Linked DNA regions of Cricetulus griseus. Each later gene encodes a partner of the first gene's protein in a complex. Links are inferred from orthologs where the notes say so. Each region holds a gene or a part of one and is shown on either strand. Other genes may lie near its edges.

Region 1 (8,371 bases):
ATCAGAATGTGACTAGCATGCTTAGTTCTGCCTAAGCAGAGATTTGCAGATTTCATTCAATATAAGAAATGTATCCATGAAGATAAAAAGATACTGAATAAGCATTTCTCTACTCTACCCACTTTTATGATACCTATATGCAAAAAACTTAAAATGCCTTCCAGAAAAAAAAATCTAAAATTTGCAACAATGGTTTAATGATAAAAACTTAGACCTTGAACATTCTGTTCACTGGTGCTCTCTGGCAGGTATGCAGAAAACACTACCCATGTGAATATTAACTTGATTTCTCTTTGGCAGAAAATGTAAGGTCCAACTAATGAGAAAAGGATGGTAGTCCCAACTTCTCTTAGCAAGCATAAAGTCAGGGGAACCACAGATTACCTAGTTACAGAAGTCAGAGTCATTATCCACAGTTTATCTTCAGTTCCTATTCTTTATAGCAAGCTCTCTGAAATCTACATGCCAAATTTAAAATCCATCCCTTCTTTAAACCCTTAAGTACTTCACTTATTGCGCAACTGGTCTGTATTTCCTCAAACTAGTCTGTTTAGTCTGGACTTTCTTTAATCCAAAGTTTTATAAACTAAAAGTGGCAAACATTAAAAAAAATAGACAATATAGAAACGTATTGAGCTGGGTGCCTTTAATCCTAGCACTTGGGAGGCAGAGGCAGAGGCAGGTGGGTCTCTGTGAGTTCAAGGCCAGCCTGGTCTATATAGTGAGTTCCAAGACAGCGAGGGCTATACAGACAGAAAAAAAAAAAAAAAAAAAAAAAAAGAAGAAAGAAAAAAAGAGAGAAAAAAAAAGAAGGAAAATGGAAGACTATTTCACATAGTAAGAATGTTATTTCATGAAATATTTCAATCACAAACATGGCATATGCATCAACTTGAGTTTTAAACACAGCATTCCTGCCCTCTACCCTAAACTCTGTAGCCCAGAGGCTGGGCTGCCCTTCCCCAAGAGGTTCTTCCCTTATAATGCAGACATTTTGGTTACCCTCCCCTTTTTGGACCTCTGGCATCCTGGCTGCTGCACCCGATTCCCCTCTCTCCCTTCTCTCTCCCCTCAGTCCAGCTCTGGTCATGTCCATTCTGGACTCTTCCAGATATCCCTGCCTCTGACTATGCTCTCCCACATACCTATAATAAACTTTGTCCACCACCATACCTAGGAGCCACTATGTCCTTTCCTTTCCATTTTATTTCTTTTTTTTTTCATTCATTACAGATATTGCTGTGTACCATGGCCTGAAGTTGAAAAAGTGGAAAAGCTACTGCTAACCCATCTTTCTAAAACATTAACCATATGCGTCCCCCCCCCCTTTTTTTTTTTTTAAAAAAAAAAAGCTTCCAGGAGGCCAATTAAATACAGAGTACAGATTAAATTCCTTAAAATGACACAAGTCTATCCACAGTAAAGTTCACCTAAGTCTTCTGCAGCCCCATGTCCTAGTTCTAGTAGAGTTTAGGGATGCCGTTCCTTCTACCTACGTTATTATACCCCCCTCTTATTTCAAGACGTGGGTCAAGCCAGAAGTAGGAATGTACCTGATTAAATATCTTCAAGTTTTGTATTTGGGAGCAGTGATAGGCAGATCTCTCTGAGCAGATCTCCCAGACCAACCAGGGCCCCACAATGAAATCTTGTCAAAAGAAATAAAGAAAGAAAGAAAGAAAAAGACTTGATTCAAACCTACTCCCTAGAGGTTCCAAGGCAGACAAGTGCAACTATTTGCCCTGATCTCTGCCCAGCCTCTTACACTGTGGACCAATGCATTCTTTCGGCAATGTTGTTGGCTCTGGGTGACCACAAGCTAGGCTTTTCTCCTCACTGAGTATTTCTCTCAGGCATCCCCTAAAATGCTGGTGTACCCAAAGGCTCTATCCTTGGTTGTTTTATGTTCTCAAAATATTTGCATGTTCTAACTACACTTATAGCTCCTATTATTATTATTATTATTATTATTATTTATTTTGGGTTTTTCAAGACAGTGTTTCTCTGTGTAGCTTTGGAGCCTACACTGTCTGGCACTTGCTCTAGAGACCAGGCTGGCCTGGAACTCACAGAGATCCGCCTGCCTCTGCCTCCCGAATGCTGGGATTAAAGGCGTGTGCCACCAACGCCCGGCTCCATTATTATTTTTATGCCAAGAACTCCTCAATTTTTCTAGCACAGATGTATTTCTTCTGAGGTACAAACAAACAAAACCAGCATTCTCTGCAGAATCCATCCACTTCTGTTCCCTACTGCCTGCAAAGTCTAAGTGCAAATCATCTCCCACCTAGACCAGCTCCTTTAGTCTTGGGGTTTCAACCAACTTTTCTTTTCCATTTTCTATACACTAACCAACCATACAGAGGATTCAAGAAACAAATTTAATCTACCACACACAAGCATTAAAAACCCCTTATTGGTCTCTAAGTACTCTGAAAACATAAAGTTCACAGTTCTTAGTAATAACCACAGTACTGTCTATACTTCAGTACAGTCGGATCACTTTTCCCTATTTCTCCGCAGCCCATCTCTCACTATGCCACCATTTATTCTACAAGCCAGCTATACTTTTGAAATACCACTTCACTCTTTCTTCGACAGTCTCTAGTATTCATAGTAAGTACCAAATCTTCTGGAGTACTAACTTTGATGTCATAACTAGGTTAAGTACACTTAACTCATACCAAAACAATCTCTCCCTCATGAACAAGAAAACCCATTACTCTTAGCTACACATATTGTACTTGTGCTATTGTCTACCTCTCCTCATAGATTTCAGGGTTTGAAGGCAGAAACCAAGCAACTCATGTTCAACATCGTGTGCCAGGGGGCAAGTAGGATGCCAGCAAGCTAAGACTAACAGCTCTGCACTCTGGGAGTCAGCACCTGACCGTGTAAACTGCAACAGCTTTCACTGCATCTTCTGGAGACTGAAGCGACCTTCTGCTTCATATACACATTTAGACTTCCTTAACAAGGCAAATTCTCTATCCAAGCTGAGGAAAGCATACAGGTGAGATCCACGCGGTTAGCAACTGTCCACCAAAGTTTTCCACACCACAAATGCCAGTAAAAGCTGTAGCCCCTGTCCCCTACGAGTGGCATCTAGTGATTTAACAAGGAGGGCATCAGAGTGGTGATCAGATAGACGTGATTGGAGTCTCATAGTCCTCAGACTCAAACAAGGACAAAGATTTTTATTTTCCCACGTACCAAACGAGGTGGCGCTGCCTCTGTGCGGTCCCGCCCGCCCCGGGACGCGGGCTGGCGAGGACGGTGGGACCCTGAACTGTACGGGAGCGTCCTTGGGGTCGAGAACGCGCCTCTGCCTGCCGGGGAAGCTCCGGGAGTCCGAGGCAGCCGGCGCAGAAGTTCCAGCGGCACTCCAGCGGGGCCGCTTGGTGCAGGGCTCACAGCCGGGGCCCGCACTCATGCTGGGACCCGCAGCGCACAGTCCCCGGGCCGGCCCGGGCAGAGAGCCTCATTCACTAACCCTGACAGGGACGGACTGCGCCTCCTTCTAGGCGCCCCCACCATTCCCACTCTGCGGCGGCCCGCTCCTGCGGCTGCTGCTCCTCGGGCCTCCGAGCCAGACCCTCCCTGCGCAGCCGCTTGCCTCCGCTCGCCGCAGGGAGCCCACCTGCCCCGGACGCGCCGCTTCCACTCGGGCTCGGGCTCAGGCTCCGGCTCCGGCTCACTTTCCCACCACCGGAAAGCAGTAGTCCCGCGCTTCGGACTTCCGGGCCGTACACAGCCGCAAAGCGGAAGTGTGGTGCTTAACGGGAGCCGGCGCCCGGAAGGTCAGCGTGTGAAGGTGGCAGTAGGAACGCGGGTCTTCCCGCTGTTGCTGTGGGGACCACGGCCGAACACACGATCCCGGCCTGAGGTGGTGGTGGGAAGCCCACCGCACTTTGCTGCGACGTCATGGAGGGTGGCGGGGGAAGTGGCAACAAAACCTCCGGCGGCTTAGCTGGCTTCTTCGGAGCAGGAGGAGCGGGCTACTCGCACTCTGATTTGGCCGGCGTTCCGCGTGAGTATCAGGCCTAGCTTGCTACCTCTCTCTGTCTGCTTCCTGGGACAGCTAGAAATGTGTAGCATTCCTTGTCCCCTTTCTTGCTCGCGTTCACAAGGTTCACCGTCAGTGATGGGGTTTCCAGACTGAACGGAATGTGTGTGTGTGTGTGTGTGTGTGTGTGTGTGTGTGTGTGTGTGTGTGTGATAAATCACCGAAACTCGTTAATTGACCTAGTTTCGGGAGGAAACACAAAATGCCTTTAGCACCCTCGTCCCTTCTTTTCTCTCGTTGCACGCATGCCAGTGTGCTTGACCCTGAATTGGGAGACTCTAGTCCTGGAAATAAACATACTCCATTAACAAGCCCATAGTTAATTTTTTTACACGGTCACTAAATATTTCTAAATTAAATGTCGGTTAGGCGAAAACCCCCTTTTTTGAGACAATTCAGGAAACCAGAAGGAGCTGGAAAGGTTATATGCAAGAAAGAAAGAAGCAAAACAGCCGGGCGTTGGTGGCACACGCCTTTAATCCCAGCACTTGGGAGGCAGAGGCAGGCGGATCTTTGTTAGTTCGAGGCCAGCCTGGTCTCCAGAGCGAGTGCCAGGATTGGCTCCAAAGCTACACAGAGAAACTCTGTCTCAAAAAACCAAAAAAAAAAAAAAAAAAAAAAAAAGAAAGAAAAGAAAAGAAAGAAGCAAAACAAATTTTAGAAGGGAAATAAGCAAATGCGAAAAATGCAGAGGCATGAATATCCGGCCTGTTGGCCCTCCTCAATCCCATAAACACGTATTTCAGGCTTTTAAGGTTTGGTAATTTTAGATACTCAGCCTGATATGTAGAATTTGGGCCTGAAGATAATGGGGAGTTGATGGTGAATGGCCCTTGTTAGAGTGGGTGTTTCTTCTTGTTCATCCTTGTAGCATTTTTCTAAATCCTTTATACTTAAGAATAATAATAAAAAGCCCTTTGATGACCCTAATGTCTACTGTCAAAACGGAGTCCAGAACAACGTTCGTGTGTGTCTCAAGTTTTTCTCTGCATGGAGACACAGTAATTATTGCTTTTATGATACATGCATACTGCTGAGGTGAGCCACTTAACATAAAACATTGCAGTTAGGGAGAGATGTCATGAAGGAAATAAAATAGGACCCTGAGAATGATGGTGGGAGGAGGAGGCTGAGAACAGATCAGGGGAAACAACTTGGGAGTTGACATTTGAGCTGTGACCTGAATTTAGCAACAAATGTTTGAGAGACAGAACAAACTTGACATGTTACTTGAACAGCTATTGGGTCTATGTGTCTTTAGAGTTGCAAGGGAGTGAAGTGTTAGAAGATTATAAAAACAGAGAGGCAGGGAACAGCAAATACAAGCTGTTATGAACAAGGGTAAGGGATTTGGATTTGATCTAAAGTGTAGATGGGAGCCTTTAGGGCTGATTTCATAGTTTCCACAGAGTGAGTGGAAGAAGTAAGAGAAGGTAGGTTAAGAAGCTGTTGGTATGAGATATGATGCTTGCACTAGGATGCTAGGTATAACAATGGAAAAACTGAAGCGACGGGACTTAGAATTGGCCGACAGAGTCATGGTGAATGCATACATTTGTGAACCATCAACTGAGATACAGAAGAACCCAAATACTAGATTTTTTTCCCTAAAGTTGGTAGATTTAAGTTTAACCCTCTGAAAGTTTGTATTTTCTTTTCCATTAAGCTTCATCCCTGTGGTAAAACCAAGGATTCTCCTTGCCATAGTACAGAGAAACTGTTAGCAAAATTCTTAGTGTGATCCGAAGGAACTGCCTTGATATACTTCATCTATAGTCAAAACCTCCCAGCCCAACCACTATTTTACTTGAGAGACTGATTACTCTTGCAATTTGCCTGATTTTCTTGCTAGTTAAAGAAACCACTTTTATACATGGTCTGGGAGAGTATGTGAGTATGAGCACTTTCTGCCAAACCTGGTGACCTGAGTTGGATTCCTAGAACCAGACTGGTTAATGGAAGGGACTCCTATGGGACCTCCACTCACACACTAGTGCATACAGAGACACATGAACTCATAAGTAAACCAGTAAATGTAAAAAAATAAAAAATAAACCAAAATAGTAATAACAGCCTAAGCTAATTTTCTGGAAGTCTCATGATTTGACCTATTAGTACCAAAATCCTATGAAAGTGTAGGGCATCAGTGCAAGACCTCAAAATTTCACATTCATTGACTTTCAAGACATGTAACAATCAGCTGAATCAATCCTATGGGAAATAGTTTAAGGAATTTTGTGATATGACATTTTGTTTTCTCTCTAGTAACTGGTATGAATCCCCTGTCTCCATATTTAAATGTGGATCCACGATATCTTGTTCAGGTAAGATGAAGCTTTTACTGGTTTGATCTGGTACATTAGTCTGACACAAAGTTCAAGTGCTTTGTGCTGACAATGGAGGAGGTATTCCTGAAGGGCTAATCTTCCGGTCTCAGTGCACTTTTCATGTCCACCAACTCAGTGCTCTTGGCTTTGTGCTTCTTCTTGAAACCAGTGGTGTTTTCTTCTAAGGTATTTGTTTTGTGTTTTAAATCTACAAAGTGTAGTGAAAAGAATCACAGTAAAGGTGATCTTTGTTTTTTGTTTGTGTGTTTGTTTTTTCTCTTTGATTTTTTTTGAGACCAGGAGTCTCTATGTAACACCAGTTGTCCTGAAACTCACTCTGTTGTCAAAGTTTGTTAGGGAGTCTTTCTGTCCTGCTAGCCAGCTCCCAAATAACCACATGGAGAAAGATTGGCTAATAACTTAGGCTTGTTTCTAACTAGCTCTTGTATTATCATCCTAAAATATCTTTTTAGACCTTAAAACATCTTTTAAATAAGTAGCTTTGGCTTTTATATTTTTCAACCTTATAAACTTATGTATCTCTCTCTTTTTTTAATTTAGTAACTAGGAAAATTATAAAACTGTGACCACCTAGTCTTCAATCTCCATCAGAGACCCAAGAAGGATAAAATATTACTTTAACAGGAATTGCAGAGAAAGCAACCTCTAAAACTAAGAGAAATGACAAAAACAGCTGGCTGCCTGGACAGTCACCTCAGGGTTCCTCTTTGACATTGGGGCATCCATCTTTAGTCTATGGGCCTAGAATATCTGACAGACTTTTCTGTGAAGCAGAAATTTTTGAAAGACTGTCCTACCCTGGCTTGGCAAAGTTGAGTGGTTACTTTTCTGTCTTTTTTTTTTTTTTTTTTTTTTGTTGTTGTTTTTGATTTTTTGGTTGCTGTTGTTATTTTTCAAGACAGGGTTTCTCTGTGTAGCTTTGGAGCCTGTCCAGGAACTCCAGACTGGCCTAGAACTCACACACATGTCTCTGCTTCTGGAGTGCTGGGACTAAGGTGACCCAGCTGGCAGTTGCTTTGTGTCTTGCTTGTCCAGTTTGGACATCATACTCTCAGTAGATGAAGCAAGGCAAACTCCATATGGAGGTTCTTCAATGCCTATCATCTTCTCAAGAAGTAGATTGGTGCTGCCAAGAGCAGCAGTGTCTCACTGTCATAAAAAGCCGTATTATTAAAACATTAAATGCCATATAGGCATATGTAGATCTCTGAAGTGTTTGAAGACTATTTAAAATATTTATCTGAGCCAGGATGTGGTGGCCCATGTCTTTAATCCCAGCAATTGGGAGGCAGAGGTAGGCAGATCTTTGTGAGTTCAAGACCAGCCTGGTCTACAAGAGCTAGTTCCAGGACAGCCTCCAAAGATACAGAGAAACCCTGTCTAGAATTACCCCCCCCCCAAAAAAAAAGAGTCTCTGATTGACCTTTAAAGTATTCCAAACATGACTATAAGTTTGATTATTATAAATGACTAACTACATACATGTATTTCTTTGTTATCCTAAATTGCTTTCAAGGACTAAAACTTTACATTGCATTTATAAATGAGCTGCATAGATACAATATTTTAAGGAATAGAAACATGTAATACAGCATAACAAAAATAACCTTAAATTTGTATCAATGTACAGAGAACCATATCAATGAACAATAAGCCTAGTAGTTGCTTTTTAGTTTAAAAGTAGATTCAATAATCTTCCCTTTTATCCTATCATTCCTATATCCCCCTTTTTTCTTTTCAGAATGAGAGCCCTGAATCTAATCTCCTCTGTTTAGTGGTTTGTTTTTTTTTCCATGACCAATAACAATTTGTAACCAACCCCCTTTATCAATGACAAACACCCATAACCCACCAAATGACTAAAAAACCACCCACCCCATCTCTTGGGAATGTGGGTGGTATGTTCTCTAGACTGCTTCCTATTGTCTGGGGGCACTGACATATTTGGGGGACCCTG
Region 2 (6,279 bases), on another chromosome or scaffold:
GTAAGCAAGACAGCTTCAGACAGCAAAATGTATGAAAGAATAGTGGCTCTCAACCTGTGGCTTGCCACCCCTTTGGGATCCACAGGGGTCACCTAAGACCATCAGAAAACATTTACAGTACGATTCATAACTAGCAAAAATTACAGTTAGGAAGTAGCAATGAAATAATGTTATGGTTGGGGGGGCATCACAACATGAGAACTGCATTAAAGGGTCACAGCATTAGGAAGGTTGAGAACCACTGCATCAAAGCCTTGCCTACTTTGAGTTCAGTCTCTCTGCTTCATGATTGCCATTGAGGATGTGAGCTCTTAGCTTCTTGCTTTGGCAGCCATGCTCCTTGTTGCCATGCCTCCCCATCACAATGGACTCTTATCTCTCTGGAGCTCTAAGCCCAAATAAACTCTTTCTTCTATAAATTGCCTTGGTCAAAGATTTTATTTTAACAACAGAAAAGTAACTAATATATTCCAAAAAGGCTCACACCTATTTCATAGAGGAACAGGAACCCTGTCCATCTTTAAGAGTCTCAATAGTCTAAGCCCAGTTGTCTTCAAGATTCAAGGCAGTCTTTAGGTATGGGGCTTTGCAAAAATAAAAAATAACCAAGTTATATTGGTTGTTGGTGGCACATGCCTTTAATCCCAGCCCTAGGGAGACTGATTTCTGTGAGTTCGAGGCCAGCGTGGTCTACAGAGCGAGTTCCAGGACATCCAGGGCCACACAGAGAAACCCTGTCTCGAAAAACCAAAAAAAAAAAAAAAGAGTACACAAATACTTGAGTAAGATACACATGACTAAGATACTGAGTCCTTTGTATTTGCTAAGGAGTGGTATAGCTGGATCACATGACAGATTTCTTTTTAGCTCTTTGAGAATTCAAAGATTCTGATTTCCACCAATCCCACTAACGCTGAATAAGGGAATCTCTCTCTCCTTTTTCTTTCTTTCTTTTTTGTTATTTCGAGATAGGGTTTCTCAGTGTAACAGCCCTGGCTGTCCTGGAACTCACTCTGTAGACCAGGCTGCCCTTGAACTCACAGAGGTCCACCTGCCTCTGCCTCCTGAGTGCTGGGATTAAAGGCTTGTACCACCACCCAGCAGGAAGTTATGTCTTACTCCTCATCCCCTCCAGCATTTGTTGACAGCCATTCTGACTGGAGTAAATGAAATCTTAGTCTTAATTTGCATTGCCTAATTTGCTAAGGATGTTAAAAGCTTTTTGAGGTATTTCTTAAGCTATTTTTATTTTTTCTTTTGAGAACTCTCTGATCCATACCCCTTCCCTTTTTTGTTTTTCGACAAGGTCCCGGATACTGAGAACTCACTATGTAGACCAGGGTGGCCTCAAAGGTGTTTGTGTGCGTGCGTGCGTGCGTGCGTGCGTGCGTGCGTGCGTGCGTGCGTGTGTGTGTGTGTGTGTGTGTGTGTCTTATATACACAGGAATGTGCAGGAGTGTGAACATGTGGAGGTCAGAGAAGAACGTTAGGGTCTTCTATTGCTTTTCTTCTTGAGACAGGGTCTTTAACAGAACCACAAGCTCCACTTCCAGCTAGGCTGACAGGCCAGCAAGCTCATGGGATACACCTGTCTTATGCCTCACCCCTTCTAATGCTGGGGTTATAGGCACAGGCAGCCATGCCTGACTTTTGACATAGGTGCTGGGGAATCAAACTCAGGTTCTCATGCTTACAAAGCCAAGTACTCTTAGCCACTGAGACTTATCTCCAGCCCTTCCCCATAATTGCTTTTTTTGTTTTTTCAAGACAGGGTTTCTCTATAGGTTTGGAGACTGTCTTGGAACTTTCTCTGAAGACCAGGCTGGCCTGGAACTCACAGAGATACACCAGCCTCTGCCTCCCAAGTGCTGGGATTAAAGGTGTGCACCACTATCACTCAGCTCATAATTGCTTTTACAACAGTGACATCTAATGAGATCTCCAAGGGTAGGGAGCTTCAGGGACAAGGTAGAATTATATTAAAAGGGCCCCCCAATTCAATTTAAAGGCTGTTCTCTCTGTCAAACTACTGTCATTTTTCTATATAGAGGATTTTAACCCAGAGTCTGTTTTGAGGTAAAATCATGCCAGGCAGTGGTGGCGAATGCCTAAAGTCCCAGCACTCAGGAGGCAGAGGCAGGAAGATCTCTGTGAGTCCCAGGCCAGGCTGGTCTTCAAAGAAAGTTCTGGGACAGTCTCCAAACCTACAGAGAAACCCTGTCTTGAAAAAACAAAAAAAGTGTCCTGTTTTGAGGTAAAATCTATGTTGCATACACATTTAAGATTTTATACTAGCCTTTTTCTTTTTATTCTGCTGCTAAGGAATGAACCAACTACTCTACCACTGAGTTATATACTTGCTTCGAACAATCTTTGTATACTATAAATGTTATTACTCTCATTGTTAATAAAAAGCTGATTGGACTATGGATGGGCAGGATTTTCAGGACGGAAAGAATGCTGGGAAGGAGGGTGGAGTGAGAGGAGTCACCAGCCAGTTGGAGAGGAAGCAGGACATGCAGGAGAGGTAAAAGCCATGAGCCACAGATTAATAGAAATGGGTTAATTTAAGTTGTAAGAGCTAGTTAGTAACACGCCTGAATTATTATTATTATTACTTTTATTGGTTTTTCGAGACAGGGTTTCTCTGTGTAGCTTTGGAGCCTATCCTGGCACTCGCTCTGAAGACCAGGCTGGCCTCGAACTCACAGAGATCTGCCTGCCTCTGCCTCCCGAGTGCTGGGATTAAAGGCATGCACCACCACCGCCTGGCTCACACCTGAATTATTGGCCAAGCATTTATAATTAACAATAAGTCTGAATGGTTAATTGGGAAGCAGCTGTCGAAACAGCTGATCAGAGTCCCTACAAAAACTCCACCTACATATGCTTCTAGCTCCTAAGACTGTTTCTGACAGTACAGCATTTCCATGGAGCTCCAGCTAGATAGTTGAAGAACAGAGGTACGCAAATCATAGGGCCAGGAGCCAATAGTAGGTGAATGTGTAGTAGTAGGTGAATGAATGTGTTTTCAGAACAGTATTCTATGTCAGTAAGACTGCAGACTCCCACACCACCAAGGAAGGCCCAACTCACAACGGGGGCATTACGAAAGCCCTTGATAGCCTGGAAGACTCCACCACCAATGACACCCATAGTGAAGGCTCCACCGCAATCATCCACAATTCGCCATGGGCTGCAAGCAGGAAGGAAAAGATAGAGTTACTGTGAGACTCTGCCCTGCCAAGCCTGGACTCTTTGGAACTTGGAGAACCAAAATAGGAAGGTCATGACTGATAAGAAACACCTCAGATAATAACAAATCAGTTCTTTTTTTGTTTGTTTTTTTGAGACAGGGTTTCTCTGTGTAGCTTTGAAGCCTATCCTGGCACTTGCTCTGTAGACCAGGTTGGCCTCAAACTCATAGAGATCTGCCTGCCTCTACCTCCTGAGTGCTGGGATTAAAGGCTGGCACCACCACCACCACCACCACCACCACCACCAGGCAGTTCTGTCAGTTTTTAATATGACCCATAAAGCCAGAAAGGAAAGCCAGGCATGGTTCTACATACCTGTAAGCACAATGCTTGGGAAGATGAGGCAGGAGGATCACAAGTTGGAGTCCAACCTGGGCTATGAATGGAGACCCTGTCCTAAAAAGAAAGTTTGTGCAGCCAGGCAGTGGTAGTGCACACCTTTAGTCCCAGTACTAGCATGGCAGAGGCAGGCAGATCTGAGTTCCAGGCCAGCCTGGTCTACAAAGAGAGTTCTAGGACAGCCAGGGATAGACAGAGAAACCCAGTCTTGAAAAACCAAAACCAAAAAGAGAAAAAGGTTTTCTGCTCTGAGCGTGGTGGCACATGCCTTTAATCCCAGCACTTGGGATGCAGAGGCAGGTTGATCTGTGTGTTTAAGGTCAGCCTAGTCAGAGTTCCAGGCCAGCCAGGGCTACACAGTGAGATCTTGGCTCAAAACAAACAAAACCAAAAACGTTTGTAAATCTGTCTATGGCGCAAAAGTGGGAAAACATTTTTTTTCTTTTTCTTTTTGAGAGTGAGGGAGGTGCCTCACTACATAGCCTTCCAAATGCTGGGCTTATTACTGGAAGAATATTGCTCTCGATTACAACTGAGCATCAATCCAACTGTTTTGTTGCTGTCAAAAATCAAATGGATTGATATGTACAAAGAGTTGGCAGGTTTCAACAGTGGTAACTACCTAATGTTATTTAAGTAAAGCAGAACAGGGTGGCACTCTGTTCCCCGAAGGGGTGGGGGGGGGAGAAGCACGTCCAAGGAAGCCCCTGTACAGTGTCATTTTAAAATTTAAAACGGAAAAATCAAAAGCCATGAGGAAGCTCCAGGCCCCACCCCTTAACCCACAGTGGATTCATGAACATGCCCTAACCGGAGTCAAAAACCAGTCTGGGAAAGGCCACGAGAGGAAACTGTGGGTTTTGGCTCCACGCCTCTCCTCCCCCTCTGCCGGAATGGATTTGCCCAGCGTCTCTCTTTTGGCTCACAAAAAGTCTCTAGGAGAACAGTCAGGGGAAGAGTGAGGTGGTTTGTCCCACACCGCACCAACAGGGACACTCCACTGTGGCGGTTTTTAGCGAAGTCCGAGTGGGAGGAGCCAGGCCGGACGCGCCGAGGCAGTAAAGTTTCTAAGCCTCCCGAGTCAGGGACTTGACAGTGTAGCCGTTGCCTTCCCCGCCCGCCTCCCGTCGTTGGCCTGGGCTTCGCAGGGACTGTCCCGAAGCCTGTGCCCATCGCCGTACCAAGGTTCGCGAGCGTACTCCTCCATGGCGCCAGCGTCTGGCCTGGAGCAGACAGTCGCACAGACGAGCCACTCCCCCCCAGAAACGCCCACAAGAGCGGAGGCGTCTTACGTAGGCCAAGGAAACTATTGGTTTTCTTTGCTTACGTAAGATCAAAGGCGCACTCTTATTGGCTAGCCAGGCTGGCCACATCCGTTCACTGCAAGCCCTGGAGTCGACCAGTTAACTACACCTGGGGAGAGTGGGGAGCGTTTTGTGCTTTAAAAGAAGAGCCCTTCGATATTGGTAAGCATAGTGACAAAGAGGGGGAGGAGGACAGGGTGACAGACTTTGATTATCCGCATAGCTGCACTGCTAACGCCGAGGTGGAAGCTTTCTTTTAAAGCTGAAGATGGTGTTGGCATTTTTGCACCCCCATCCCAGCGCCTTGGTTCCTCCCACAGTGCTGACTTAGAGGGACGTTGGGTGATCCCATTTCTGGGTTGCGGGTGAGCTCCGCTTGGTCCCTCTGGCGATGGGTGGAGCCTTGGCCTGAAGAGGAACTGGGTCTTCGGTGCATCCGGTCCCCAGTGCCCCGGTCAGTAGAGTTCTGGTGGTACTAGTCCTCACCGTATTGCCACGTACTTCTTTCATCTTTTAGCACGCATTTTTTGTGCTGTCTTTCCAGCTGCTGGCGCAGTTAGGTAGGTGGGGGGTCAAATGAGCACATGCTGTAGTGTGACGCATGGTTACTGGATATCCTGATTGAAATGTTTATCGGATTTGCCCTTCACTGCCTTCTGTCGGTTCCTAGGTCTGGTCAGCAACCCGCAATGCCGCTCCCTGTTGCACTGCAGACCCGCTTGGCGAAGAGGGGCATCCTCAAACATCTGGAGCCCGGTGAGAAAGCTAATAGCATCTAATACCGTGTGTCAGTGTTAACAGATGTCTGTTATTCTGTTCTCTAGCTCCCCCACCTCTGCCCCTCGCCCTGTCGAACCCAAGGTGCATGCCGAGCAGGCGCTCTACCATCATCCTCAGCCCCAAAGCGCACACCCTTCCCCCCGCCCTTTGCGTTGCTGGGTTCAAATCCAAACTCTTGGATGTGCTGTACTATTGAGGTATATCTCCTTGATAGGCTTTATTGTTGATACTTGATACCTTGCATGGCCTGGAAGGCATCTCAATGTCACTTTACTGATACCCATTACTACTGCTTGGTAAGTACTGTGTGATGTGTAAGGCTGGTGAATAGAGTTTAATTTAACTCATGAATCAAGTGGACACGGTGACAAGTACCAATAGGATCACCTACTTAGGAGGACAATATACGAAGATGACTTGAGCCCAGGAGATCAAGGCCAGCCATGGCAACTTGCCCAAAACCCAGTCTTCAAAATAAAATAAAATAAAGCTAGCCAGGCATTGGTGGTGGACGCCTTTAATCCCAGCACTCCAGAGGTGGAGGCAGGCAGATCTCTTTCGGTTCAAGGCCAGCCTGGTTTACAGCATGAGTTCCAGGA

The links.
Region 2: mitochondrial import inner membrane translocase subunit Tim23 (region 1) and Timm17b share a complex: the UniProt entries of both Homo sapiens proteins name them as parts of the TIM23 complex. The link is inferred for Cricetulus griseus from reciprocal best matches to the Homo sapiens genes TIMM23 and TIMM17B.

What each region holds. Positions count from the first base shown.
Region 1 is NW_023276807.1:187,224,760-187,233,130, forward strand, and holds the start of mitochondrial import inner membrane translocase subunit Tim23, read left to right. Parts: upstream 1-3,773; 5' UTR 3,774-3,924; coding exon 3,925-4,030; intron 4,031-6,331; coding exon 6,332-6,390; intron 6,391-8,371. Other genes in the region: Parg (poly(ADP-ribose) glycohydrolase), read right to left, coding at 3,214-3,433. UniProt on the Homo sapiens protein: Essential component of the TIM23 complex, a complex that mediates the translocation of transit peptide-containing proteins across the mitochondrial inner membrane.
Region 2 is NC_048604.1:114,362,659-114,368,937, reverse strand, and holds the start of Timm17b (mitochondrial import inner membrane translocase subunit Tim17-B), read right to left. Parts: upstream 4,841-6,279; 5' UTR 4,804-4,840; coding exon 4,778-4,803; intron 3,654-4,777; coding exon 3,573-3,653; intron 3,197-3,572; coding exon 3,097-3,196; intron 1-3,096. Other genes in the region: Pqbp1 (polyglutamine-binding protein 1), read left to right, coding at 5,590-5,656. UniProt on the Homo sapiens protein: Essential component of the TIM23 complex, a complex that mediates the translocation of transit peptide-containing proteins across the mitochondrial inner membrane.